Regions from separate parts of the Mus musculus genome. Here regions 2, 3, 4, 5, 6 and 7 are each reported to be linked to region 1. Evidence: microRNA targets listed by miRTarBase, many of them from high-throughput screens and not tested one by one. Region 1 holds a microRNA gene; each other region holds the end of a gene's coding sequence.
What was found. The annotated mature microRNA mmu-miR-3097-3p reads CUCAGACCUUUCUACCUGUCAG and lies in region 1 at 2,834-2,855, opposite strand. An mRNA with a match to its seed (bases 2 to 7 or 8) in the 3' UTR can be bound and repressed. Matches are read on the target gene's strand: a 7mer-m8 pairs with bases 2 to 8, a 7mer-A1 pairs with bases 2 to 7 and ends in A, and an 8mer does both.

Region 2: miRTarBase lists Nup133 as a target of mmu-miR-3097-3p. Seed matches in the 3' UTR shown: 7mer-A1 at 2,822-2,828 and 7mer-A1 at 2,407-2,413.
Region 3: miRTarBase lists Foxf2 as a target of mmu-miR-3097-3p. Seed matches in the 3' UTR shown: 8mer at 1,081-1,088.
Region 4: miRTarBase lists Ttc9c as a target of mmu-miR-3097-3p. Seed matches in the 3' UTR shown: 7mer-A1 at 2,445-2,451 and 7mer-A1 at 2,237-2,243.
Region 5: the mRNA of Slc11a1 is a reported target of mmu-miR-3097-3p. Seed matches in the 3' UTR shown: 7mer-A1 at 1,086-1,092.
Region 6: miRTarBase lists Stxbp2 as a target of mmu-miR-3097-3p. Seed matches in the 3' UTR shown: 7mer-A1 at 2,775-2,781.
Region 7: the mRNA of Aoc2 is a reported target of mmu-miR-3097-3p. Seed matches in the 3' UTR shown: 7mer-A1 at 967-973.

Annotation. Positions count from the first base shown.
Region 1 is chr5:35,019,883-35,023,948 of GRCm38, reverse strand. Mir3097 (microRNA 3097) reads right to left here and starts at 2,900; the gene lies at 2,834-2,900. Rgs12 (regulator of G-protein signaling 12) reads right to left here. Exons shown (of 17, transcript NM_173402.2): 6 at 3,543-3,635; 7 at 2,690-2,833; 8 at 1,178-1,357; 9 at 767-920.
Region 2 is chr8:123,895,695-123,899,760 of GRCm38, forward strand. Nup133 (nucleoporin 133) reads right to left here. Exons shown (of 26, transcript NM_172288.2): 26 at 1,429-3,816. The coding sequence ends at 3,680. It overlaps Gm29773 (a long non-coding RNA gene), which reads left to right. Exons shown (of 3, transcript XR_879336.3): 1 at 1-672; 2 at 803-902; 3 at 3,356-3,442. Among named protein-coding and RNA genes, the nearest start is that of Gm29773, 3.0 kb to the left of the region's middle.
Region 3 is chr13:31,629,896-31,633,961 of GRCm38, forward strand. It overlaps Foxf2 (forkhead box F2), which reads left to right. Exons shown (of 2, transcript NM_010225.2): 2 at 587-1,511. The coding sequence ends at 750. Among named protein-coding and RNA genes, the nearest start is that of Foxf2, 6.1 kb to the left of the region's middle.
Region 4 is chr19:8,807,964-8,812,029 of GRCm38, forward strand. It overlaps Ttc9c (tetratricopeptide repeat domain 9C), which reads right to left. Exons shown (of 4, transcript NM_027412.3): 4 at 1,112-3,875. The coding sequence ends at 3,781. Among named protein-coding and RNA genes, the nearest start is that of Zbtb3, 7.4 kb to the left of the region's middle.
Region 5 is chr1:74,384,919-74,388,984 of GRCm38, forward strand. It overlaps Slc11a1 (solute carrier family 11 (proton-coupled divalent metal ion transporters), member 1), which reads left to right. Exons shown (of 15, transcript NM_013612.2): 14 at 223-376; 15 at 475-1,133. The coding sequence ends at 588. Among named protein-coding and RNA genes, the nearest start is that of Ctdsp1, 4.7 kb to the right of the region's middle.
Region 6 is chr8:3,642,282-3,646,347 of GRCm38, reverse strand. It overlaps Stxbp2 (syntaxin binding protein 2), which reads right to left. Exons shown (of 19, transcript NM_011503.5): 19 at 2,350-3,702. The coding sequence ends at 3,617. Among named protein-coding and RNA genes, the nearest start is that of Retn, 11 kb to the left of the region's middle.
Region 7 is chr11:101,328,670-101,332,735 of GRCm38, forward strand. Aoc2 (amine oxidase, copper containing 2 (retina-specific)) reads left to right here. Exons shown (of 4, transcript NM_178932.1): 3 at 153-282; 4 at 528-1,030. The coding sequence ends at 794. Aoc3 (amine oxidase, copper containing 3) reads left to right here and starts at 1,937. Exons shown (of 4, transcript NM_009675.2): 1 at 1,937-3,870. The coding sequence starts at 2,271.

The DNA.
Region 1 (4,066 bases):
GATTTCTATCTCAAAGTGCTATTTTGGGTCTGAAGAAGCCTGTCCCTGTGACCAGCTGGCTACTCATTTTACTAGTAACCCATTTTCCATCTTCTTCCTCACAAATCCCATTCATAGCCAATAGTCCAAGTCATTAATTGTTCTAACCATGATCTAGGCCAGCCTACATACGATGTAAGGGCCTAAACACTGTTTTACCCCAAGTCTGACACTCAGGCTCCTGGATCCAGTGACCTACTCTGAACAAGTACCTTCTCGGGCATCTGTAGACCCTGTACCAGGCAGACAGAGTATCTGAGCTCTGCTGCAGCCCTCTCCAGATGACTGCAAGTCTGCCAGGTATGGGAGGCCTCCATGGGACGCACACCCCATCTCCAAGTCCCCATCCACCAACACAATGGCTGACGCACATGCATTGGCACAGGCAAGAAGCTGTGCCTGGCTACGGGGACAGCACATTTGTGTTTGTTTCTCTTTGCTTGATTCTGTTTTCCAAGTTTCCTACTGAAGCACCTGCAACTTTCATAGCAAGAAGAAAAGGAGCCCAGTCAGCCAGACACGCTGCATCAAGGAGTTTCCAGAAGGTTCTGGAGCAGGCCTGCTTCCTAGGCTGGCTCATCCCCAACTCTGCTGGATTCCCAGGATCTGTGACATTTCTTCATCCCTCCAGATAACTCCGCTGTATCTCTGCCTGCCCACCATGGCCTCTCACGTTACCACAGCAGTCCAGCTCCCGCCCACAACAGCATGGTCTGCATTCACATACCATGGGCATGGTCACCATGGTCCTTCTTCTTCTGGGACCGCCCCGTGCTCCTGCTCCTTGACCAAGAGAAAAAGGCCCCTCTGCGTTTTTTCTCACTATCCTCCTCCCCAACATCTTCATTCAGGGATCGTCCTGATTTTGATTTTCCACTTAACTGTCACCAAATAGAAACATCAGTTAAGACACTAAAGGGGCTCAACACAGAGCTCTATGAGTAAGGATTCTGAGGAATCAGGTAGAATCTTCAGTGGGTCAAGGGCACAGTCCTCTCTTTCACCACCGAGGTAGCCAGGGGTTAGGGGATCAGGAAAGGGTTCAGGAGTATCTGTGTCCTACAGGCCCCACCTTCTGCTGGTGACAGGATGTGTGGTTACAGCCTTACTCTCACCCCCACAAGGGCTAGCCCAGCACCTTTTTTGGTGTGGACACATTGGAGTGGTCAGAGCTGATGCTGTGCTTGGAAGCTGGGCTGCTGGGGACCTGCTGAGAGTCCGGGAGGGTACGTCCCTCCACCTCTGCCAGGACGCATTCTTGGTACAGCTGGGATTTCAGAAAGCGAGTGTAGCTATCAAACTTCATCAGGTTGAAAATCTGTGGAGCAGATGCCATGCAGTATAGTCACAGAAAGAACGGTAACTCCTTAGGTCCTAGGCGGTATAGGAGGTCTGTACCCATGAATGAGTGACATTTTGGAAGGGTGTCATTCCTGCCAACCCTCCCTTGGGCCCCAGGGCACTCAGATGTTAATTAACTCTCCAGGGACCCTTCTGATCCCTGTCAACAGCCTCTCCTTTGTCACTCTTAGTAAGAGCAGAGTCATAGGCATAGGCACAGCCAGAAGGGCAGGCAGACTCAAGACTGTGGCTGCACCCTTAGCAGGCCTTCACTTCCTAGGAACTTGGAAGGCAGTTGTCTCAAGGGTAAGTGAGGCCTGGGGAAGCTCTGCTCTGTTTTAAGCTAATTCCTGCAACCTAGCGGCACAGCAGCTGGCAGGGCTGGGAAGTGTGTTCTGGACGGGTCAGATCACATGCTCTTCCAGAATTAAGACACAAACATGTAAACAGGGTTCCATGTGCATCCTGTGATCCGGCAGAGGCTGAGGCACGAGTATGTGAGCTTCATGTCAATGGTGGTGAAATTACACAGTGAGATCCTGTCTCAAATGACAATTGCTGCTACTGCTACTAAGCACGTAAACATGTAAGTATACAGACAGGTCCACAGCATTCTGGATGTACACTAGTGTGGCAGCGACGTGTGCTCATAGAAAGCTTTCTCTGGGCTGGGATAATGCAGTTATCATCCGCTCTCAAATGCTGGAAGTGACACCGAACTTGCTCAGAGTCAGCCCTGCAATCATCAAAGACCACTGACCTTCCATAATGTGCTGTTGTGGCCACGCTGTAGCTGTCATGTTCTGTAGGTCAAGTGTGTCCAATGTGCATACAATTTTTTTATACTTATTTATTCATTTACTTATTTAGTGAGAGAGAGAGAGAGAGAGAGAGAGTGTGTGTGTGTGTGTTGTACACCCACCATGGTCCGTGTCTAAAGAGTACAACTTATAGAAGTTGATTCTCTCCTTTCACTATGTGGGTCCCAATGATCAAACTCAGGTTGTCAGGTTTGGCGGCAAGAGCCTTTATCTGCTGAGCAGTCTCACCAGCCCCATAGACTTTTGAAAAGTAATATTGTCCCTTACTTCGGTTGACAGTGGGTACATGGGGCTATCTGTGGCAAAGGCTTTATTGTTCCTCAGATCTACTGAATCCTTTTGAGACTGGAGCCCAGTGGTCAGATGGGCTTGTCACCATGCCCACATGACCAGCAGCCCCCTTCCCAGAAGGGCACGTGCTACTCTGAGTGACTCTGCACCCCCAAGCCTTGGCTGGAAGCCCCATGGAAGACTGTCTGCAAAGTCACCTGGAGCTGTTGTTCCTTGAACATGTCAGGGTGGGGTGCATTGAGAATGTCATCTGCCAGCTGGGCCTGGCTGTCAATGTTGACAGGAGTGGTGGCTTTGCTGCACAGGAATTTACTGAAAATCTCCCGGGCCCTGTAAGAGAGCTGACAGGTAGAAAGGTCTGAGCAGATCTGTAGACACACCCACTGGACACACACTTCCCACCTGTGTCACTCAAACATTCCTAAGGCTGACTCTGCTTCGGGGCTGGAGAGCTGAGTCACAGGCCCTGTCTATAGTCTGGCTTATGAAAGTAAATATAAAAGAAAGAGCCAGGAGGAAACTCCTGAATCGGCTCCTCTACAAATTTCTAAATGGCTGCAAATTTCTAAATGGCTGCTTTGTAAGGGCCTCAGAGGAGGATCTGCCAGCAAAGTGTGCACGACAGGGGAGGGCAAAAGTGCACAATGCTCAGAGCACAAGACACAGGCATGAGGCCACTCTGTGAGGACAGCTGTTACTTTGGGGGAAAGGCCACAGGACATGGCCTGGGCAGTCCTGGGGCAGCTAGACAGGTGCTGTTAAGCCACAGGTAGAGGCTGCAGTTTGCCAGAGTGCTTCTCCAAGTCTCTTCAAACACTGTTCCTTCTTACCCAACCCAACGTCAAGTGCCACCACTGCCAGGCTCTGTGGCGAGGCATTTATGCAGACTATGTTTAGGCAGAATTAAATGTCACACACTTAAGTTTTTATGCTGAAGCAGAAATGTCACCGTTCTTTAAAGTCAGTAAGAAGCATCCCTCATCGACTGCTCAAGCAACCCTTGATGTAACCTCGGTCCTCACACAGCCCCTGCTCTGAAGAGCAGTTTACCTCTTTTTTGTCATGTGCAGGAACATGACTGAAGCACTCACAGGCCTGCCAGAATAAAATGTTCTCTTCACTGAATTCCTTACGTAGAAAATCCTGAGGGAACACAGGAAGGAGAGCAGTTGTCACTCCACAACCCCTCTATGAAGCTGAGCCCCATATCCCCGGCCCTCTTTGTCTACACCATGGCAGGAAAGGAGCCTCGCAGGGGCCTTGAAAGCAGGCATAGGGGCTGCGCAGCACACGTGAGTGGGCGGGCCATCTGCCTCACAGCTCTTTTCTCAAGGGCTGGTCATCTTTTTTTTTTTTTTTAAAGAAATATATTTTTAGTCTCTGGTTAGCATATAAAATATGACATCATATCACTGACACTATTATCACGTGCTGCTCGTAATCACTCTTTCACAGCTCCATCCCTACTTCTGGATCCTTAAGAGCTGTATTTGTCAGCATGCATTTCCAAGAATTTTGAAGAAGCTCCAGCTAGGATGATGTCATACAACTGTAATCCTAGTACTCAGAAGGAT
Region 2 (4,066 bases), not on the chromosome of region 1:
GATCATACCTGGAACTGTTGGGACCTAGAGGGGGCTGAGGCAGAGAGAGGTGCTGATGAAGATATACCTTCTAAGGAGCACTAAGACCTTACACTGGTGCCCAGGAGCGGCCCCTCCCAGGCAGACTCATCTTTATATTTAGAGGATGATGCCCGTCAGCCCGGCTGCTTCCCATGCACCTTGGGGCCACCACCTGCCAGGCTTGTGTGGGTTCTATTTATACCGCTGATAGATGGGAATCTGCTTTTGGGTTTCTAGAAGGAGCAACTTATGGAAGCTGGGATGGGGGTGAGTAGAGGTCATCTCTTGGCGCCTGTCTCAATTTGGGCAGGGAGAGGGATAAGAAAGCCCAAAGGAAAAGTGTTCTGTGACCAAACAGGCGACATGCTTTGAGGGGTGTGCATCAGAGCCAAGCCACCATGGAGCCATTCACTTTTCTGATGGCTTAAGCGCTCCCAAAATAGCTGTTCCCATTTGGAGTGGAACTTAGCAGCTGGGACAGGTGCAGAGCCTCTGAGAGCAGAGGCTCCATGAAGCGATTTCAGGATCCCACACAGCTCTTCCTAAACCTGAGCTGCACTGCCTAACGGGCATCAGCTCTGTGGCTTTGCCTGTGCCCTGGGCCAGGACCTGGAACTGTTAAAAAGAAGCAAGCAGCAAATGCAGACTATGGTCAGCTTTGGGGGTGCTTACATTTGGGGCATGGATGTAGGGAGAATTGTCCAGGTGACTGGACCTCATCGGGCCGGGCTGTACATACCGCCCCAGACTCTCGAAAGCTCTTGCTTATCCCACTATGCAGATTTCTCAGCTTTGCGTGACAGCATAAAGTGGACCTTGAACGCAGTGGTTTGCGAACTACAGGAAACCTGCGGCCCCACACCTGGCGCAGCAGCAGGCAGGTGAGTAGGCAGGTAAACTCTAGGTTCAGCTGCACCCTTTCCTTTCCTGACAGTTTTTCTCTGGAATCCCGGCTAGGTTCTCGCCGGCTGTCTTCTTGCTGGGCCCTTAAATGCTTGTGTGCAGGGCACTTACGCCACCATGCGACACACCCACACCTCTTCTTAATCTCCCCCCCCCCCCCTTTGCCCCTTTACCCCTCACATCCTGTAAGTCCTTGCGGTATCTACCAGAAGCAAACAGGACAACTAACAGGCAGCACGGCAATCCCTCAGTCCTGTTGCAGCCTAGGCTTGTATTAGCATCAGTCTGTCTTTCCCTAGTGAGCAGCAGCACAGGTCGGCTCTACCCTTTCAACTCTTGCAGCAGCAGTTCTGGAACCTCAGAGCCTGACAGGGAAGGCACGCGTGTCACAGGACAGGACAGGACAGGAGAGGGAGCTGGTCCCCTCTCCACTCACACTGGGGACTGAATTCGGGCTGGGCGGCCGAGCGTAAGGAGCTGGTTCTTACAAGTGAAAAGCAGACAAAAAGAAAACCTCGTTTTTATTAAGGCAATGCAGATGCATGCAAGGACCTGCCATCCCAGCAGGAGAAGGAAAACTGGAGCTCCTCTGAGAACAGAAGTCCAAAGGTGTGCTAAGTACTCACCATTGCCCACACAATACAAAAGGTGGTCGACTGAAGCTCATTTCAAAACAGAAGCCCAGCTTCCAGGTCCACCAGTTACTTGTGTTTATTTTGGATATGAGCTCAATGTCAGGCTTCACACGCCTTAAAAAAATTGTTCTAGCCAGGGCTGGTGTGTACACTTGCAGTTTTAGGACTTGGGAAGCTGAGGCACAGGGGCTGAGAGTTTGAGGCCAGCCAGAGTTTATATGCACATATCATACACATATGATAAATATATACAACATATATACACATTGTTTTTCAACATATATTGTATTTTATACATGAATATTATGCCATTCTGAGGACAGACTGGCAGTGGTGGGGGAGGCCACACTGGGAACACTCAGAATGTGGGACCAACCATGACAGCCCGAAACACCATGAATTTGTCTTGCAGACCTCTGGCTCTCCCCATAGCATCCAGTCAAGAGAATAAAACAACAAAACCTTTCCCCCTGTGCTCTGTACAGGTTGCCAGGGCCCTTTCAGGTCCTGACTGACTCACACATCCTCAGAATACAGCACACTCACCTCAGGGACAAGGGTGGCTGCTGCCATTCACAGTCCTAACTAGTTCATGCTGAACTAACGGATAGGCCAACAAGAGAAGGATCCCAAGAATGTACACCGGGTACCAGGAGACAGTCTTAGCTACCTGACTTAGAAACAAATCATTCATTCTTCAGAGATGGATTATGTGACCAGTTTTTAAAACTTAGGAGGGAAAGATATTCAACACTGAAAGTCTTAATTTCATTTTTACTGCTGGAGTAAGTTTACATGCCAACCATTCTGAAGCTGCGATAGTTGCCATAAAGGTTTAGCCCCCTTCTTCAGACAGGTAGGCCATGGCCAGAGCTCTCAGAGCAACATCTCTGGGTAGACCAGCCTTGGCATTACGATGTTTAGGAAGGGACCGTCTACGGTGAGACTAGAAACCATCCTAGGTTTATGAGTCAATACTGGGGTCACAGACAATGCCAGTACCATATCTGGTAGCAATGACAACTTACTGACAGCTCAGAAAGCCACACAAACATCTTACTAAAACACTTTAAGACTTATCCATTATTGATGGATGCAGTGGCCCACACTTTTAATCCTTTAATTTTACACACACACACACACACACACACACACACACACACACACACACACACATATATATATGGCTTTTTTGGCTTTTAAGTTTTAACTTTTTTTTTAAAAAAGATTTATTTTATATATGTGAGTACACTGTCACTGTCTTCAGACACACCAGAAGAGGGCCCTGGGACCTATTACAGATGGTAGTGAGCCACCATGTGGTTGCTGGGAATTGAATTCAAGTCCTCTGGAAGAGTAGACAGCGCTCTTAACCACTGAGCCATCTCTCCAGCCCTGCCCCTTGCTTGTAATTTTTAAATCAATGTAGGAAGTGAGAACATTCCCAGTGAGTTACCAGCTGCCCACCCTCCCGAGTTAGACCCAGGGTTTTGGTTTCTAGGCCACAGTATAAATCAGTGACATCTCATCTTCACTTTGCTAAGCAGGCACTTCCCTTTGCCTCCGACCAAGAGATCAGCTTCTCAGAGACTCCCAGAGTGCCACATGCAGAGGGCAATCTGTTTTCCCCGTCCCCTGCCATCTCCAACACTTCCTCACTTCCGCTGCCCTGCTCTCCAACCTGTAGCATCTTTTAATTGCTGACCCAAATAAACAGACACACTTGCTCAGCCCATAGAACGTTACTTGCATGTAAATTCATGTATATTATTATACACATTCTTATATTTTTTCAGGGCTGGTATTGGACAACCAGTTGGGGAGCGAGGCAACCTGTTTTGTTTTGCTGCCTCTTTGGACCGAGGGAGGCTGGAGAAGGGCAGCTACACAGAAGCAAGGGTGACTTCAGGTGGAAGAGGAGGAGGAAATACCTTACAGCTGAAAAAGAGCATCAGGGCCCCTCCTTTTATATCGCGGCTCCCATATAAAGCATAGAAAACCTGGTTGCTGCAGACAAAACAGACTTCAGGTTGATCCAGACCTAAGTTTTTTGGCCTCAATATTTTTTTTTAATAAGCAAATATTTACACAAATTTTAGAAACAACCATTTCTACAAATGTCACATCTGTCCTTGGACATAATACTCATAATTTGCTTTCAGAACAAACTCAAAGTAAGAGTTGGACTTGAGGCTTCCCAGCTGCTCTGCTCGCAGTAGGTCCGTCACCTCTGGCAAGTACTCGCTGAGCTGGATGCCTGCAAACAGAAGACACGGTCACTTCTGACGGCTGAAACTCCTCCGCACATGAGCAGTACAGCAGCCAGTACTGCTAAGTCACTGAGCGAACATGCCCACACTGCAGCCTCCTCCCATTCAGAGCCCTCAGGGGAATGGCAGCCTCTTCAGAGCCTCAGAGCCCTGCAGGTTCCTATTGGTCAGAGCAGATGCTCCAGAGGAAATCTTCAGTAGAATCTGAAATTTTTTTTTCCCTACAGTTTAAGACAT
Region 3 (4,066 bases), not on the chromosome of region 1:
CATGACTAAAGAGCACCTCTTGGCCTATCCAAGGCCAGGGTTCGAAATCTAGAAGATGCCTGCTGCCTGTGGTTGGGAGGGGGCTGCCCTCTTCTCTCCCCCTTCTCAGACCCCTTCTTCTCTAAGGTATTTTCTTTGTCATCCTGTGTGGATGAAGGGGGTAGCACACCCCCACCCCATCCCGACTTCTTGAGACAGAAAAATTAGGTACAAAAACAGAGGCGATGGCGCAAAGTGTCAGCGTGCGTGTGCCGAGCTCAGCCTGGATCCAGGCCTGGCAGAGAGGTCTCCCAGCACAAGAGAGGGATGTGGGAATCCACGAACAGATTACCTCTCAAGGCGTTCTTGAATTCCCACTTGCCTCTCAAGAAAGGGTATTTAAAACCAAAGCAGGGCAGGCCTTTGGGTCTCCAAGGCGCTCCGAGATGCGTCCTATTGGTTTTATAGCCATACACCCTAAGGCCACCAGCTGCCTTTACACCCTCAGTCAAAAATAACACAAATTAATGGGAAATTTCGAACTAATACACCCCACCATCAGCTGGGTGACTTTCACTGAAAAGATTTTTTTTCTTTCTTCTTTCAGTCGGACTGCCCCGTTACCAGCACCACTCCACTCCAGTGTGCGACAGGAAAGATTTCGTCCTCAATTTCAATGGCATTTCTTCTTTCCACCCTTCCGCTAGTGGCTCTTATTATCACCATCATCACCAGAGCGTGTGCCAAGATATTAAGCCCTGTGTTATGTGAATGGACAGAGGCCTTGAAGGCCACTCTGCTCTCCCTCTTCTGCCTTCTTCTCCTCTCCCCTCCGAGAGGGGCAGCCAGGAACTGCAACGGACTCACACTGTGCACGCTGGATAGCGAATAGCAGTAAGTAGCACACCCATCACTTAGACAAATACCCAAGGGAGTTCTGCTCACCGATATTTGCCCGGCCCCTGGAAGAGGAAACCTTTCGAAAGCTAATATCCCAGAAGAGCGACAGACAGAGGAGGTGACTACATGTAAGACATATGTTACTGTGTGGAGGACATAAAACTTTTCAGTTCTGGGGTGGCCATTGCATTCACTAATCAGGGTCTGAAAAGGGAGGTGTGTGTGTGTGTGTGTGTGTGTGTGTGTGTGTGTGCTTTTCAAAATTGCAGTGCTAAAAGCACACAATTTCAAGAAAGCCTTCTCTAGTTCCCTGGCTCAGTAGGACATTTCTTCCACCCACTCCCAGTCCCCCAACACTCCCTTCTTCGGATACAGGTGCCAAAGAACATTGTGAAGAAATGAAGAACCGATAGTCTAGTTTAAGAAAGTGGCTCTCAGTATTGTGACAGTACATTTTTACAAGGTTGTTTTTCTACCACCGTATTTTTAAAGTATTTTTATGATCTTCGTATACTCACACTTCGCTTGTATTGTAAAAGGAGGGTATATTTGCACTTATGTATACTTTGACAGTTTGCCAAGATATTTTGATGTAAGGTTTTTTTTTTTTCAATAAAATGTGTATAACAAGTAGTTGTTCTAGGGACCCTTTCCTCTGCAGGCACCCTGTTGTGGCCACACCCCACGGTGACAGTTGCAGCTCTAGGCTGCCCACCCCCAGGTTGTATAACTGACGTGATGTGAGGTCTCTGTTTTGAATGAGCCAGTCCAGTCCTGATGGTGGGTCTTCTCAGTAGAGAGGGCACTTTTTTTTAAATTTCTTTCTCTAGTTCACTCTCACTTTTTCTAGCCAAACAAAAACCAGAAGGTGAAAGGAACTTAAAAAACAAAACACCAAAGAAATAAAAATAAATAAATAAAAACAACAAAAGCAGGCAAGATATGGAAAGCCAAGGGGTTTGATCTGAGGAAGCTTAAGTTCTGCGCCCTCTTTGTTTCCTTTCCTGTGCCCAAGAGCTCTGCCCTTTTGCTCCTTCCTCTCTCCCACCAGTACCAGATGCTAGGGCAGAGTAAAGAACCACCTCCCAGAGCCTCCACATCCCATCTAGGCTGCAGGCTGCTTTGGGTGATGGTCAGATCAAAGGGGATTTAAATTGCCCCCAACACACACACACACACACACACACACACACACACACACACACCTCCCATGGGATTGCACAACTTCTTGCCAGGTTTTCTAACCCTGAATGCTACCCACAGAACTTGTAGGACATGGGATTGAAATGGGAAAATAGTCCAACCAGGCGGCAGATTTATTTCCCACTCAGAACACCCATGTGCTGGGGGCAGAGCAATAGTCACTTTTAATCATGTTGCAGTAATTTTTGTCTCTGCTCAGGGATGGATTTTTGTTTTTTGTTTTTTGTTAAACTCTCTTCCCTTCCAATCCACCACCAGGCACTTACTGTTAACTCTGGAGAGGATATTTTCCCCCCTATCTCAAGGAATCTTGATTCTGAGGTGTTCTCCTGAATAAAACATCTAGTTTCAAAACTCTTAGCTATATTCCTAGCCCTTAGGCTCTCTTCTGTATTTTTTTAACTACGGAATTAAACACTTTTGTTTCTGCATTATCATATTTGCATTTACATAGTTTTTTTCTACACCCCCCCATCCTTTTTGTCTTTTATTCTGAGTTACTCAGGGGGGCCTGCTATAAATTATGAAGTCAGTCGCAGAGTTTGCTCCGACCACAGTGCTGTGTTTACATTCCTTCCAAGGCAGCCGGCATGGTCGTAATTTATATCCTAAACACTTGAACGTAACTTGTTTATACAGAGAATGACGGGACCTCAAACTCCAGGCCGATCTGGCCAACCGCATCCGGAGGACCAGCGCGCCGCCTGGTGGAGCAGGAGACAGGTGCATGAGGACCTGGGCTTAAAAAGCACTAAGAATACAAAATGTTGGTGCTAATCAGTACAGATATTTAGAACAACTCTGTCAGGAATTAATGCTTTCTGTTTTTAGGAAGCACTTCGAATTTTCTCCATCTATTATTTCCATCTACAATTTCATCCTCAGGCTGATGAAGACTCGTCAGCCCTCCTCCCGACCTTATTTACTAAGATCTTGATACCTTTAGAAAGCTTCTAGAGTTCTCAACTAAAGTCACTGTTCCCTTCTGTGTCACAAATGCTTCTCTCTTAACTGCCCCTCCATCCAAGACAGGCACTCAGACATGTTAATAGTCATTTTTTTTCTTTTCTTTTTTTATGGTCATCGGTATTTTGACTGCAAATTGACAAAGTATAATTCTTAGTTTTAAGTTTCTGAAATATTGGTAAGACATTCTAAAATATGTGCTACCATGCTTTTAGAAATGAAGACGATTAAGTAATTCAATGGGGGGGGGTTCCGAATCACTTAACTATTTCTATATCTTGGGGACTGAACCCACAAGCTAATCACTTACTCTGCCACCGAGTTTTGAATTTACCAACCCACATATTTCAAGTGTACCTCCGGTCTTCAGAACTTCTGCTCATTGGTAGAATAAAATGATATGCAAAAGGATAGCTGAATATTTTGTAAAAGAATGACTGGCCTTTTTGTGTCTGCTTTTAGTTAGAACTATGTAAACTAAGAAGGAAGGCAACAGGTGACCAGGCCCGTGGCTCATGCCCAGCCTGGGCAGTGGTTGTCTTAGTAAGCCCTACACAGTTACCTAGTTAATCCTTTCTGTTTCCCCATGCTGGGGGCTGGGGGAGAGAACAGTGTGTTTCCATTAGCACAGCAAATACCAGAGATGAGCAGCTCACAGAGAGCAGAGGGTGGATGGGTGGGGACACGGATTTTTAGGCCTGGATGGTATAGCACACCGCGGTGGAAATGTATCATAGAGCAAACGATTCCCCTCAGATCTGGGGGATTAGAAAGAGAAGAGATGCAGCCCCACGCCTACCTAGTCAAGCCCCTCTCCCGCCCCCAGTGATATGAAAACCTCTCACCTAGGTCCCTCCACCTTAAAGGCTCTACACCTCTACTAACATCACAGAAGACAGTACATGGGCCTAGAGGGGCCATTCCAGATGCTAATATAGCGTGAAGACCTTGATCCTATTTACATATCACTCTTAGGTCATGTGTTTCAGGGGTCTGGCTCACCCCCATGCATTTCCAG
Region 4 (4,066 bases), not on the chromosome of region 1:
GGGGTTGAATATGTTGTTTTTAGAACATCAGTTCCTCAAAGTAAAGAACAATGTCCTTTTGGATGTAGTTTCTCTAGACAATCTGAGTAATAGGCACTACTGGGCTAGTCAGGCCTTTGGCCAACACTTAACTGAAAAGTCAGAGTATAATTTAGTGGGAAAGTACCTGCCTAACATCTGTAAAGCCCTAGCACAGAGGAGAAAGAAAAAGAATCCACGAATAAGTAAATACACCTTCAGTTTTAAAGGCAGGTGAGTGGAACTTGCCAGTAGTTTTAGTTACTTGGCGGGTTCAGGCAGAAGATTCATTTGAGCTCAAATAGATGGGGCTAGCCTGGGCAACTTAGGAAGAACCAGTGTGTGAAGACAGCTAATGGGGCTGGAGAGATGGCTCAGCAGATAAAAGCACTGACTGCTCTTCCATAGGACCCATTTTCTATTCCCAGCACCCATGTGGCAGCTTACAATTAACTCCAAGATCTGACACCATCACATACTGACATACAAGCAGACAAAACACTAATGTACATAAAAAAAGATAGCTGGTATGCTGGCTCATGCTTATAATCCTAGCACCTAGGGGGCCAACACAGGAGGACTGCCATGAGATCCAGTGCAGGCAAGGCTACAGGAACATTAAAAACTGAAAATATCTTACAAGTAATTTTTGGGCAGTGCTAGGCAAGTGCTCTACTGCAAAGCTAACACGTAACAACTCTCACATGGCCTAAGCACTAACACAGGTAATATGTAAATAGAACTTGAGGCCAAACTATGACGGAGTGGGTCTCAAAATGCCCTCATGTGTGTCCTTTCACATGCACCACAAAGACTACCTCTTCACTTAGAACCTTCAAATCTTGTTGGAAATGCTTAAAGCCTGGTAAAGCTGGAGCCTGTCCCCTCCACAGACTACTGAACTTATATTTAGGGATCCTCTGAGGCTGATTCACAATGTGGGCTCATCAGACCTCTTCAAGCCCTAGGTCAGGCTTGGTTTTATTTTTCTGTGACTTACTGAGTCTGTTGGGCGCTGAGCTACAGAATAAGTCTGACACTGCTAGGAAGGCTGAGAAATTATCAGTGAAATAAATTTCTAAGATGCATTTGTGAATATCAGTTTTATTTTTCCTCATTGATGTAATAGACAGCTTCCTTTAACATCAAATTTTTACACAACAGCCAGGAAGCAAAACCAGCTCTGAAGAAGTGAAACATGCAAGATGACAATGATTTTAATTATTTTTAAAAGCATAGGAAATGGACCATTCAGGGGCAGTCATGGCATAGGAACTATAGCAACTAGATTTTACAGCGGGACACAGAGATTGGACCTAATTGACTCCAATTAGACAAGTGGATATTTATAATTGAGGGGTAGTGGTGAGATTTATACTGGAAAATTACTGAGTAGAAACTTAAAAAAAAAAAAGGGGTTCTAACTTAATGTGACAGGACTCACTATGACAAAATTTTGCCAAACCAGTATAGGGATTTTATCCATCTGAGTTTTTAAGACATGATTTTGTTAGGTAAGTCTGGCTAGTCTGGAATTCAGTATATAGCCAGACTGGCCTTATAGTAATCCTTCTGCCTCAGCACTCTTGAGTGCTGAAATCACAGACATATGCTAACTTTAGCAGTTTAAGAAGTCTGCAAGATAAAATATTCTACTTAGTTCTGTCCTTGTATTTTTTTAGGTTTGGTAGAAAAGCTTTTTATCTTGTTGGATATATTATTTAAATTATGGGGAGGAACATAGAAGCACAGAGTATTAGGAGAGTTTTAGGTATTATTAATAAGCTAGTTGGTCCCACCCCAAGAAACATATTTGGTTTTTGATTATATAATGGCTAGCGACACATGCTTATTATCTCTGCTTATAAAGGTGGAGGCCTACTACATGGTCTTAGCTACTAATTGTCAGCCATGACATAAAGAGGATCCAGGGTAAACAGAATGACAGACCAGCCACCAGTAGCTGAATGCCACCGAGGCAAGGCAAGGCAAGACAACCCTAGGTTTGCACCCATGAGTGACACAGCTTCTTCAGGATTCTATCAGGTGCTTCCAACACACTAAACAATAAACATCTTTCCTTGTACTTTCTTTCCTCTGTAAGGTCCTGAGCACCTACAAGACAGAGTGACAGCTGAAGAGGAAACAGGTTCTGTCATGATTTATTAGGGTACACTTTTTTTTAAGGTTTATTATATGTAAGTACACTGTTGCTGTCTTCAGACACTCCAGAAGAGGGAGTCAGATCTCATTAGGGATGGTTGTGAGCCACCAAGTGGTCGCTGCATTTGAACTCAGGACTTTTGGAAGAGCAGTCAGTGCTCTTAACCGCTGAGCCATCTCTCCAGCCCCTACGGTACACTTTCAAGAAGACAAAAGTAATGCCTTTCAGAAAAGTGAACACTTTAGAATGTATCTATGAAATATTCAGACTTGGACAGCCAAAGCTACGCAGAGAAACTTTTTGAAATACAAACCAAATTCTGTGGGACTAGCTGTGTAGCTTGATGACAGGGTGCTTGCCTCGCATGTGCAAGGTGGGTTTAAGCTCCCACACCATACATACACACACACCCAGAGAAAGTGCACCAGCACTTGGGTTCCTTCTTGGCACAAGGTCAGAGAGAAGGTAAAAACAGGGTTTCATGTATCCCAGGCATTCACTCCAGAAGTTTTAAAAAAAGACTAAATTAATGACAAATAAGTTGTACTTTGTCAGTGATCTGAGTGCAAGCAATAGCAAGGACTAGAAATTACCAGGAGGGAACAAAGCAAACCAAAAACCAGAAAGGGGAATTAAACCCAGGGTTTTCCCACAGAGCTGTTATCTCCAGCCCTTTAATTCTGAGACAAGATCTGACTGACCTTGAATTTGTGATTGTCATGGTTTAGACTCCAAAGTGCTGGGATTGCAGGCATCTACCACCAAGTCTGCCTAGAAAGAAGATACTTTTATGGAGGAAAATAATCTGAATGTCTCTGAAATATTAAAGGAGTATAAGAAATTAATTTAAATAACAGTTTGATTCATTTCTTGTTATTTCGTTGGTTGGTTTTGTAGCACTGGGGAATTAAACCCAGGGCCTTATTCGTGCTAGGCGAGCACTCTACCACTGAGCTACAGCCTTAGCCCTAAAATGATTAATTTCAAATCTTTTTTTGTTTGTTTGTTTTTGGTTTTTCCAGACAGGGTTTCTCTGTGTAGCCCTGGCTGTCCTGGAACTCACTCTGTAGACCAGACTAGCCTCAAACTCAGAAATCTGCCTGACTCCCCCAAGTGCTGGGACTAAACGTGTGCGCCACCACACCCAGCTAATTTCAAATCTTTAATGTAAATATACTTGGGCTCAATTTATAATTAAAAGAAAAAAAAATCCCACTAAGCAAAACAAAAGCATCTGAAGATACTACAGAAGATTCCTGTTTGCCTGTCCTTACTCTCTCACCCTTCACCGGCCCTCTCCTCTGTGTCTGAGAACATTTAATAACACCCCATTAAATCTATGCCACAAATACAGTTGATTCCACCCACAGTCGATGAATGTTCTCAGATTGTAAGCCATACAAATACACTAGGGGACAGACAATAAACGATGCAGATGGTCTAAGGAGCAAAGAACTTGTGCAGAACAGGAAACAAAATGGAAATCCACCTGGGTCAGAGGTAAAGGGTGAACTCCTTTTGCTGAGTGAGGCTCAGATTCCCCAATGGGCCTTTGCTTGTCCACTTGAGTTCAAGTTGAGAAATGTCTCTTTTCTTCATTAACCAAACATGCCCAGGTACAGCTGTTTCTCCTTCCTATGGTAGCTGCTGAGTTCTGACTGCGTCAACTGGAGGTACCGCCGAACATTGGCATCTTCAAAGACAATAGAGGTTTACAGACAGACCATAATGACACAAATGGACCACAGAGCATTGTTAACACTCCTAGTTATTTTAGTTCTCCAAACTCTGAATGTATCACAACTATTCCATATAATAGTAAATTCTATTATTTATTTATTTATTTATTTATTTATTTATTTATTTGGAGACAGGGTTTCTCTG
Region 5 (4,066 bases), not on the chromosome of region 1:
GAACCAGGGTTTGGTGGGGCAGTTTCTAGAACCCCGGGCTTAACCTCACCACACCCCTTGCCAAGTCAGTGATGGAGCCTGAAGTGCCTCCAAGTGGCTAACTGGGTCTATCTGCTCTAGAGCATTCAGGCAGTCCTGAGGATAGGGGTGTCCTGAGGTGGGGAGACCATCCAGGAGGCCCGGCTGTTTTCAGCCAGCCCTGAGCATCCATTTTTCCCCCAGGATGAGCAAAGCCATCACTTCGTGCATCATGGCGCTAGTCTGCGCCATCAACCTGTACTTTGTGATCAGCTACCTGCCCAGCCTCCCGCACCCTGCCTACTTTGGCCTTGTGGCTCTGTTCGCAATAGGTTACTTGGGCCTGACTGCTTATCTGGTACTGGGGTCAGCCACGGGGCAGGGAGGGCAGGAGAGGGAGACACAGGGGGCTTCTGAGGCGCTCTGGCCTCTCCTCAACTCATGGTCCTTCCCCAGGCCTGGACCTGTTGCATCGCCCACGGAGCCACCTTCCTGACCCACAGCTCCCACAAGCACTTCTTATATGGGCTCCCTAACGAGGAGCAGGGAGGCGTGCAGGGTTCCGGGTGACCGCGGCATCCAGCAAGCAAAGAGGCAACAGGGCAGACACAGCAGAGCAATTGGAGGTCCCCTACTGGCTTTCTGGATTACCGGTTTCCAGTTTGGACAAGTGCTTTACCTCGGAATAATGACACCATTCTTATCACCACAACCTAAGAGACTTAAAAAACACAGTGCCTGGGGCGAGAGATGGCTCAGGTGTGAAGAACACTAGCCACCACCCTTTCAGAAGATGGGGATTCAATTCCCAGCATCAACGTGGTGGCTTTCAACTGAAGGTGACTCCAGTTCCCAGAACACCTCAAACAGAACTGCCACAACTCCATTGTCTCACTCCAGCTCGTGGAAGATGAAGGGAGGAGTCCTAAAGAGTTCTAGGTCGGGTCTCTGGAGAGACGGCTCAGCTGTTAAGAGCACCGGACTGCTCTTCCAGAGGTCCTGAGTTCAATTCCCAGCAACCACATGGTGGCTCACAACCATCCATAATGGGATCCCTCTTCTGGTGTGTCTGAAGACAACAACAGTGTCCTCACATATATAAAATAAATAAATCTTAAAAAAAAAATCTTAAAGAGTTCTAGGTTATCCTCCTAAAAAGTGAGTCCAAGCTGGGCAGTGATGGTGCACGCCTTTAATCCCAGCACTTGGGAGGCAGAGGCAGGTGGATTTCTGAGTTCAAGGCCAGCCTGGTCTACAAAGTGAGTTCCAGAACAGCCAGGGCTACACAGAGAAACCCTGTCTCTAAAAAACCCAGTTAATCAATCAATAATAAAATAAACTGAGTTCGAGTCCAACCTGGGCTACCTGAGAGCCTGTCTCAAGAAGGAAGTAAAAAGAAGGAAGGAAAGTGGAGGAGGAGGAGGAGGAGGAGGAGGACGAGGACGAGGAGGACGAGGAGGAGGAGGAGGAGGAGGAGGAGGAGGAGGAGGAGGACCTGACAAACTTGGGGGGAGGAAGAGTCGGACTGGAAGAAACTTAAAAAAATAGAAATCGTCCGATGAACCAAAGGGTAGCTCCCCTCTGTTCCAAAGCGCTAGAAAATCTAAACGCCAAAACCCGAACCCTCCAAATGACTGTACGGAAACCTATTTTCCAGAGAGTAAAACCTAGAAAGTGCTCCTTCTCTGTCAGGAGCCAGACCATAAAGAACCCAAAAGTCTGTGCCTCAAGGCCCAATTCATTTGCCATCTCCCCAGGGAACTGGGCTGACCTGACTCCCACGCTGCGCTATTAGGGTTCCCTGTACTTCACTCTCAGCTCCCCCTAGGGGCAGGGACTCTCCCGGGCGCCCACACTCCGGCCTAGGCCCTGTCCTCCTTCAAGGGCAAGCGGGACACAGGTGAGAGGAGGGTGCTTTCTCCCAGGGCCGCAGAAGCCACCTCCGCGCCCGGGTAGGGAGTAGCGGTGTGGGCGGGGAACCCCCTCCTCCGCAGTCAGCGTCCCGGAACCCTTCGCCCTGTGTAGACCTAGCACATTGCAGACGCTCCCTAGGCAGTTTCTAGGCTCCCCTAAGTCCCTCCTCCTGACTCCTCCGGTTCCTTGCACTGTAGCCTAGAACAGCCCAGAGCCGCACGGGGGAAGGGGTGACCGGGGAGCCTTTTCCCAGGGTAGAGCCTGGGGGAGGTTCTCTGTCTGAAAGCAGCTCCTATTACCCGGAACCCAGCTGGGAAGGCTGTGGACTGGCCGCTCAGAGTGGGGCGCTTGTTTATGAAAAGAATTTCCTCTTTCTTAAAAGGGCAATGAAAAGAGTGGGCCCAAAAGGAGTGGCTAAGGGAGAGGTCTGGGTGCCTGAGCAAGAAAGAGTACCTCCCCTCGCCTTGGTGCCTGCTGCTGGAGAAGATGGGATCCGAGATAATAAAGGGGTAGGGGGCTGGCAAAGAAAGCATCTCCAGATTCCCCTCTAATTTCTCCCGTGTCCCCCAACTTGGTGGACATTCAAGCGATTCACTTGGCACTAATTGGGTGCTTTATTTATTTTTCATTTATTTTTTAATTTTTTCTGTGATAAGCCCTGGGTTAGAAGTGGAAGAGAGGTAAAAGTCCCGAATTAAAGAGGATGTCAGCTGTCTGTCCAGGAGCTCTCAGGGCAAGGGGGTGGGAGGGCAAAATGAACTGGCAGGATGACACTGCGAGTTTAAGAAGACCACTGGGCCGAGCGTGGTGGCGCACGCCTTTATTCCCAGCACCCAGGAGGCAGAGACAGGCGGATTTCTGAGTTCGAGGCCAGCCTGGACTACAGAGTGAGTTCCAGGACAGCCAGGGCTGTACAGAGAAACCCTGTCTCGAGCCCCCCGGCCCCTAAAAAAAGAGGAAGACCACTGAGCACAGGATTGTGAACGTTAAATAAGAAAGGGCTGTCAGTGAGTGTGTCCACAATTCTTGGTTCTCAGATGCTGTGGAATGGGGCTGGGGGACCCAGAAGGAGGGAGAAGCTGATCGTATGACTAGTTGTGTTTAGGACTTAGAATTGAGCGCTGAGAAGGTAAGTTTGGCCCAGAACACTTACTGAACACTCACCTCCATAGGACTGAACTTCCCAGCTCCTCTGGCACAAGCTAACATGGCAGCTAACAACAGCCTGGAACCCCAGCTCAGGGGACAGGACACTCTTCAAGCTTCCAAAGGCACCCCAACACTCACTGCATACACTAACACATATACGTAAAAATAAATCTTAGCGACATTGTAGCACACTCCTTAATATCAGCGCTCTGGAGACAGAAGCAGGTGGATCTCTGTGCACTGGAGGCAAGCCAGCTCCGGCTAAGTAGTAGTTTCAGTCCAGCAAAGGCTACATAATGAGGCTTGCTCAAAATTAATAATAAATACAACAACAACAGCAATAATAAATCTTAGGGTCAGCAAGATGGCTCAGTATGTCAGGATACCAGTCACCATTCCCAAAGACCAGAGTTCTGTCCTTGGGACACACATGGGTGGATTCTCTAGCTCCACACATGTTTTGTGACACATGCTCACACACACAAAAATAATGATTTAACCCACACCACACCACAGGGTTTCTCTGTGTAGCCCTGGCTGCCCTGGAACTCACTTTGTAGAAGAGACTGGCCTTGAACTCAGACATCTGCCAGCCTCTGCCTCTGCCTCTGGAGTGTTGGAATTCAGCCAACCTGTCTGACTTACCAAGGCCCAAGATCAGGGATAAGGTTGGCCATTTCCAGCCAGGGGCCGGCACTTAGTGCTCCTCCATCCCCGTGGCGGCCCTAAAGACCTCAGCCCCAAAACTCAAATTGAATTTAAGGAAAGAGGCCTACCTTAGGGTTTCACCAGTCAGTCCTCGCATACCTGCTTCCGGGGAGCCAGCTGAGGGCGTCCTACCAGACCTCCCGTCCAGTCCATCCACAAGCAGGAAACTGAGGTGGTGAAGGGAAGGACCCTTGTCTCAGGTGCCCCAGAGTATCCTGCTTAGTCCCGGATAGCAGTCCACACCATTGTTTTTCTTGGGGATGAGTATTAAAATAAT
Region 6 (4,066 bases), not on the chromosome of region 1:
GATGCCTCCCTGAATGGTATACCTACATAACACAGAAAGCAAGGATGGACATTTTATTCTTATAAAGAGGGTCTTAAAGATTCTTTGTAATGTGGGAGGTTTGCCAAGATCTCAGCTGATGACAGTAGCCACAGAGAGCAATAAATGCTTGCACAATCAACATTTGTGTTTGGTAGTATAGACACTGTGCCGGCTAGTTTTATGTCTGCTTGAGACAAGCTAGAGTCATCAGAAAAAGGAGGCTCAACTGAGAAAATGCCTCTATTAGGCTGTAGGCAAGCCTGGGAAGGCCCTGCCCATTGTGGGCGGTGCCACCCTTGAGGGAGTGGCACTGCCTTCTAGAAGAAATCAGGTTGAGCAAGCACAGTAAGCAGCGCCCTCTGTGGCCTCACCAGCTTCCACCTCCAGGTTCCCGTCCTGCTTGAGTTCCTGCCCTCACTGTTTTGGGTGATGAATGAACTCTTATATGGAACTGAGTGAAATAAGCCCTTTCCTCTCCAAACTGCATTTGGTCATATTCCATCACAGCGGTAGTAACCCCAAGACAGACTCATCCTTCATGTCGGTATCATCAGATTCGGTCGGGATGGGTGGGCCACACCTTTAATCCCAGCACTAGCTAGCCTGGTCCACATGGTTCCAGCCAGCCAGGACTACACAATGTGATGAGTATTTTTTTAACTTTTTTTTTTTTTAAAGGAAAGATGAGAGTAGTTTAAGCAACAGTTTTGTTTCTGCTGAGAACCATCAAATAATCCTTAGCCCACTTCCCAGGCTTCTCTAATAATTAGGTCACCCAAGCTCTGGTTACGATCTGGGCCGCAGCATCCCCTGGCGCTCACCTCGCTGAAATACGGAAACAGATCCCAGAGAGAAACAGCAGTTTGCTGCCAGGGATCTTAGAGTTTACATTTAAACTTTAGAATAACCTCCCGTGCCAGACAACTCCAGCACTTCAGAACCTGGGGTAAAACGGTAGGGAGTTCCAGGCTAGCCTGAGCTACAGAGCAGGAAGATCACCCTCTGTCTCCCTCCACTTACCATCCATCCCTTCTGCACTGAAACCAGGACAGCTGGTTGGGATTGAGGGGGGGGGGGGGCTGTGACAGACGATTTCCTTATTCCCACTCATTCATTCCAAATTTCATGATCTTTTTGAGTTGGGGTGCTCAGGACAATCTGATTAGAATCCCAAGCCTCATGTTCTCAACTTTTCTGAGAAATGTCTTTAGATTCCCTGGGCTTTGATGAACTCAAAATCAAAAGGATCCTCCTAGCTGTGTCCACAACTCTGCATGGCTCACATGCCCAGGCAGGACCCAAAAGACAGGACCCAAATGACAGGGGGCACCGTGCTTGGCTTCCAGCCCAGGCCACTCTAACACTTGGACTGGGCTTCTTGGCCTCCCTGCTCCTGAACCCCTGAATCCTTCCATAGTGTTCAACTGCCCATCAGTAACAAAATCTTCACCCAGCTTTGCCAGGTCCCACCTAGTTCTCAGACCTTTGTAAAATCTCATTCTAAAGTCAGAGACAGAGGCCAGGGCTTCCAGTACTGCTGGGTGAGCTCTGTAATCCCGGTGCTCTTGTTCATGGGCAGCACTTAACTGTCTGGCTCACCATGTGGCACCATGTAGCATCCTTCCATGGTTTTGGCTTTGTAGCCTTGAGCCTCCCATTCCCTTCTACTCCTATTCCCACCTCTAGATGAAACACTTTGGGATGCCTTCCAATCCTCTTTACCTGTGATACCTGCCTGGCTGTGTCCCCAAAAAGAAGGTCCCTTCTCTGTCTTATTCACACACTGAACCATACCTCCTGTTACTCAAATGCTATGGGCTAAATTGTATCTGTTCCCAAGAGTTAGATGATCTTGTCCTAACCCTTTGTATCTCAAGATGAATATATTTAGAAACAAGGTCTTTTTAAAGATAATTAAGTTTAAAAAAAAAAATGAGGCCACAGGGTGGGCTCTCATCCAGTATGTGGTGACATAAGAAGAGGAAATTGGGACACCTGCAAAACGCAACCATGTGAGGACACAGAGAAATGGCCAGCTGCAGGGGTGGAGATGTGGTTCAGCTGGAAGAGTACCTGCCTAGCATGCATGAAGAACTGTGTTCATCCCCCAGCACTGCAGAAACTGCACAGTGGCAACCCCAACTGCACAGCTGTAACCCCAACACTCAGGAGTTCAAAATCACCCTCAGCTATTTAACAAGACCAGCCTGGAACTACAGGATACCCTTTCTTGAATAAAGGGTATCTATCTACAAACCAATCAACACCTCCAGCAAAGACCAAACTTCCAGAACTGTGGAATAATAAATTCCTGTAAAGCCATCTGAGTGAAGTGCTTTTATTCATTTATTTACCTGTTTGTTTGTTTATTGCTGTGTGTTGGGGGGAGGTGTACATGTATCTGGGTTCGCACTGAAGCCGGGAGAGAGCACTGAATTCCCTGGAGCTGGAGTTACAGTCAGTTTTGAGTCACCCAAATTGGGTGTTGGGAACCAAATTCCAGGCCCCTGTAAGGGCAGGAAACGCTCTTAACTTCTGAGCCATCCAGGCCCTAGGAATAGTTTATAAGTTGACCCTACTGAACAAATATACCTCCATTAAAAACTCTGGTAAATCCTGCAATTAAGAGTCTACAGGCATATCTTAAGGTTGGGTGCGGGGGGTTACTAGGAAGCCGGTGTTAGAGTTTGCTGTATTTTATTTATTTTTTTAAGATTTATTTATTTATCATATGTAAGTACACTGTAACTGTCTTCAGACACACCAGAAGAGGACGTCAGATGTCATTACGGATGGTTGTGAGCCACCATGTGGTTGCTGGGATTTGAACTCAGGACCTTTGGAAGAGCAGTCAGTGCTCTTACCCGCTGAGCCATCTCACCAGCCCCAAGTTTGCTGTATTTTAAATGCTAGCTCTGATTGCTGGAATTGGGGATTCAAGTTCTACTTGCAGTAGCTCCTGGGAGGTTCCGGGGAAGAGTCAGGATTCAGGTCTACTCTATTTCCGTTTCTATTTCTGGTGCTGGAGATGCATCAGTGGGTAAGAGACTAGCTGTTCTCACAGCAGACTCAAGAACCTTCATGGCTTCACACAACCATTTATAACTCTGGTTCCAGGGGATCCCACACCCTATTCTGACCTCTACAGGCACTGATACTTATGATGCATAAACATACATACAAGTGTAACACACAAAATAAAGATAAAGGTTAAAATTTTTCCTATATTTCTAACCTTACAGCCTAAAGAACTCTAGTGACAGTGGGGTTGCAGCCCTGGCAACCCCTAATCTGCACCTCTCTATCTCCTCTGCCAAAATCAGGCCTGGGTTTGGATGGAGGACCCAGCAAGAGAGCCAGTGCCTCCTAAACTTCAAGCCAATACTGACCCTACAGCCCAGGTTCTCAGCGTTAATGAAAGCTACAGATGCTTCTGGGGGCCGGGGAAAGGTTCGGGCAGGACAGTGAAAACGCAGGGGGAGGTCTGGCTCAATACAGCTCCCTCTGGGAAGAAAATGAGGTGAGCCCTGGTGGGAAGACAGAAGGGAAGCGTTTATTTCTCTGGAATAGGAGAGGGCAGAGGCAAGGGGCTGTGTCAGGGCAGGGCCACACCCTCCAGCTTCTGATCCAGTGTCTTGAGGTCATCGAGGAAGCGGGTTGGAGTAAGGATGTGAGAAGAGCCTGGGCAGGAGGGGAAGGTTAAAGGAGGAGGTAGAGTCCCTCCCTCCTGACTCGTGTCCTGGCTGGTGAGAACAAACTCCTGCCCTTCTGCAAACCAGGGCCCTGTCTTCTCAATGATTGAGGGGTTCAGAAACTTAGGAACAGGGGTATCCAGCCCCAGGTGATTACTCCACTGAAGACTCCAGCCCCAGCCTTTCAAAGTCCCCAGATTCCCACCCCCAAGCCCAGAACTTTCATAATCTAATCCTAGCCCTTTAGGGATTCTTTGAGTTCAGCCCCAGCCCCTCAAAGACCAGAGCTCAGTCGCAGGCCCTATAAGGACCTCAGAGCTCAGCCTTAGATCTCAATAGACTACAGAGTCCAG
Region 7 (4,066 bases), not on the chromosome of region 1:
CCCCTTCAGCACTCACACATCCTGGACCTGCCTTCCAATTCAAAAGGATAACTGGATGGGAAATGGTATCAATCTGATCCAAGGGATTCTAGGCTTGTAAAGCGCTTTGGTTTTTTTTCCCCCAACACTGCCTTTCTACAATTCCTGGCCAGGTACCAGCTTGTGGTGACCCAGAGGAAGGAGGCAGAGCCTCACAGCAGCAGCATCTATTACCAGAACGACATGCGGAGCCCAGCTACGGTTTTTGCTGACTTCATCAACAATGAAACCCTCTTAGGGGAGGTTGGTGGGTTTAGAGATAATGGGGAAAGCCATCTCTTCCTGATGTCTTGGCTGTCCGGCCTCTGTCCAATACAGGTTATCCCTACTAGGCAGAAATTAGTCACAGCAGTGGCACCCTGCCCAGGTTATTAGATATTCGGTGTAGGAATGTGGCTGGCAGATGCAGAAGCCAGGCTGAGGCTGGAGGCTGGGAAATGGCAGCTAAGAGGTGATTCTTAGCCTCCCATTCTTCTCTTCTCCTACAGGATCTGGTGGCTTGGGTGACAGCCAGTTTCCTGCACATCCCCCATGCTGAGGACATCCCCAACACAGTGACTGTGGGAAACAGAGTGGGCTTCTTGCTCCGACCCTACAATTTCTTCAATGAAGATCCCTCTATCTTCTCCCCTGGCAGCGTGTACTTTGAGAGGGACCAGGATGCCGGGCTCTGCAGCATCAACCCTGTGGCCTGCACCCAACAGCTGGCAGACTGTGTCCCCAACTTACCCTCCTTTTCCTATGAAGGCTTATAGGCCTGAGGCTATGGTGAGGCCCCAGGGTAGGAGGGATGGAATGTGGAGTGGAGAAATGGCTCAGCGATTAAGAGCACTTGACTGTTCTTCCAGAGGTCCTGAGTTCAATTCCCTGCAACCACATGGTGGCTCACAACCATCTGTAATGGGATCTGATGCTCTCTTCTGGTGTGTCTGAAGACAGAGACAGTGTACCCATATACATAAAATAAATCTTTTAAAAAATTTTAAAAAAAGAATGGAATGTACACACTCCTCTGTTCTGTTCCTGAATTTTGTTTTTTGTCTTTTTGTTTTTGTTTTTCAAGACAGGGTCTCTCTGTATAGCCCTGGCTGTCCTGGAACTCACTTTGTAGACCAGGCTGGCCTCAAACTCAGAAATCCGCCTGCCTCTGCCTCCCAAGTGCTGAGATTAAAGGTGTGTGCCACCACCATCTGGCTCTGTTCCTGTATTTTTACCCCACCCCCACCCCCCCACCCCCCGCCCCCAGGTTCCCATCCTCTGTTCCTTAGCAGCCTTTCTGCACTAAAGACCTGGGTATCCCTGTGGGCTAATTCTTGCTTCCTGCCTGTCTTTTGTATCTGTTTCTATTTGAGACAGGGTCTTTCTGTGTGGCCCTGGCTGTCCTGGAACTTGCTATGAGTTCAAGGCTGGCTTTAACTCACAGAGATCTGCCTACCTCTGCCTCCAGACTACTGGGATTAAAGATATACACTACTACCCCTGGCTTCTGCCATTGAAATGATAATTTATAAAAAATGTTTTGGAATACTCAAACGCCACAAGTTCTATCACTTCAAAACTCACTGGTGTTCACAACATCAAATCAGGCTTCTTACGTGTGTGTATCTAAAAGGAGTTACGTGGTTATGTACAAGACGGTCTGCCAAATTTTTATTCGAGTTTATTCTGCTTGGCTTTTTAAAGTATGTAGAACTTTATCCCAGGAGAATATCAAGGACTCTGGCCAAGGAAATTAGTAACAGTAAGAGCCACAAGGCGGGGCTGGGAGGGTAGGTAGACCTGGCCAAGGAATCTTTCTTTGAAAAGAGGCTGGAAGTGGGGGTTTCCTTGGCAGGACAATACTTCACACTGAATGTAAAGGAAACACCCGGCCTTCATAAGGTGGGAGTTGGGGGAGAAGTTAGTCTGTGGGGCAGACCCGGCTACTTTTTGGCAGTGGATTTCCATACACAGACGAGATCCCTCCCCCTTCCCCCAACCCCAGCTCTCCCCCAATCCCAACCCTGACCCAGAGAGCACTCTGATTTGGAAACTGGAGGACAAAGCCATGTAAGGTCTGTGGATATCACTGCAGCCAGCTCAGACCCGCCTCCCAACCCTAGCTCCGGCTTCCCTGCTCCTTCCCACCCTGGCAAAAGCAGACTACAAAGAAGCTCTGCTATTGCCTAGCGCCTGGGAGACCCCAGCCAAAAGGAGTCCATTTCTGGTAGAAGCCTGTCCATCAAGAAGCAATGACCCAGAAGACCACCCTAGTGCTCCTGGCTCTGGCTGTCATCACCATCTTTGCTTTGGTTTGTGTCTTGCTAGCTGGCAGGAGCGGAGATGGGGGTGGACTGAGCCAACCTCTTCATTGCCCCTCTGTTCTTCCTAGTGTCCAGCCCCGGACACACCCTAGCCAGAGCCAGCCGTTTGCAGACCTGAGCCCAGAGGAGCTGACAGCTGTGATGAGCTTCCTGACCAAGCACCTGGGGCCAGGGCTGGTGGATGCAGCCCAGGCTCGACCCTCGGACAACTGTGTCTTCTCAGTAGAGTTGCAGCTGCCTGCCAAGGCTGCAGCCCTGGCCCACTTGGACAGAGGGGGGCCCCCACCTGTGAGAGAGGCATTGGCCATCATCTTCTTTGGTGGACAACCCAAGCCCAACGTGAGTGAGCTGGTGGTGGGGCCCCTGCCTCACCCCTCCTACATGCGGGATGTGACTGTGGAGCGCCACGGCGGCCCCCTGCCCTATTACCGGCGTCCTGTGTTGGACAGAGAGTATCAGGATATCGAGGAGATGATCTTCCACAGAGAGCTGCCCCAAGCTTCTGGACTCCTCCATCACTGTTGCTTCTACAAACACCAGGGACAGAACCTGCTAACAATGACTACAGCCCCCCGTGGTTTGCAATCAGGGGACCGGGCCACCTGGTTTGGCTTGTATTACAATCTCTCAGGGGCTGGGTTTTACCCTCACCCCATTGGCTTGGAGCTTCTGATAGATCATAAGGCCCTGGATCCTGCCCTGTGGACCATCCAGAAGGTATTCTATCAAGGCCGTTACTATGAGAGTCTCACTCAGCTGGAGGACCAGTTTGAGGCTGGCCTGGTGAATGTGGTATTGGTCCCAAACAATGGTACAGGTGGGTCCTGGTCTCTAAAGTCCTCAGTGCCACCGGGCCCAGCTCCCCCTCTGCAGTTCCATCCCCAGGGACCCCGGTTCAGTGTCCAGGGGAGCCAAGTGTCTTCTTCCTTGTGGGCTTTTTCTTTTGGCCTTGGAGCTTTCAGTGGCCCAAGGATCTTTGATATCCGCTTTCAAGGGGAGAGGGTGGCCTATGAAATCAGTGTCCAGGAGGCCATAGCCCTCTACGGTGGAAATTCCCCAGCATCAATGTCGACCTGCTACGTGGACGGTAGCTTTGGCATTGGCAAATACTCTACCCCCCTGATCCGAGGGGTAGACTGTCCTTACCTCGCCACCTATGTGGACTGGCACTTCCTTCTGGAATCTCAGGCCCCCAAGACACTACGTGATGCATTTTGTGTGTTTGAACAGAACCAGGGCCTCCCACTCCGGCGGCACCACTCAGATTTCTACTCCCATTATTTTGGGGGTGTTGTGGGGACGGTGCTTGTGGTCAGATCCGTGTCTACCTTGCTCAATTACGACTACATATGGGACATGGTCTTCCACCCCAATGGGGCCATAGAAGTCAAATTCCACGCCACAGGCTATATCAGCTCAGCTTTCTTCTTCGGTGCTGGTGAGAAGTTTGGGAACCGAGTTGGGGCGCACACGCTGGGCACGGTACACACCCACAGCGCTCACTTCAAAGTGGATCTGGATGTGGCAGGTGAGACATCATTGTAGGTTGCTCACCAAACAAAGATTGGGGTAGGGGGCTATGCTTTCCTTCAGTCTGGCTGGGAAAGGAGGGGCTGCTGAGTTTCATTTGGATCTTAGCTTCCTGCAAAGCTGCCAGACTCTATACATGTGACCTCCTTACAACATCTTGGGAAATGGCTAACCCCGGGGAGAAGGCTAGGTCC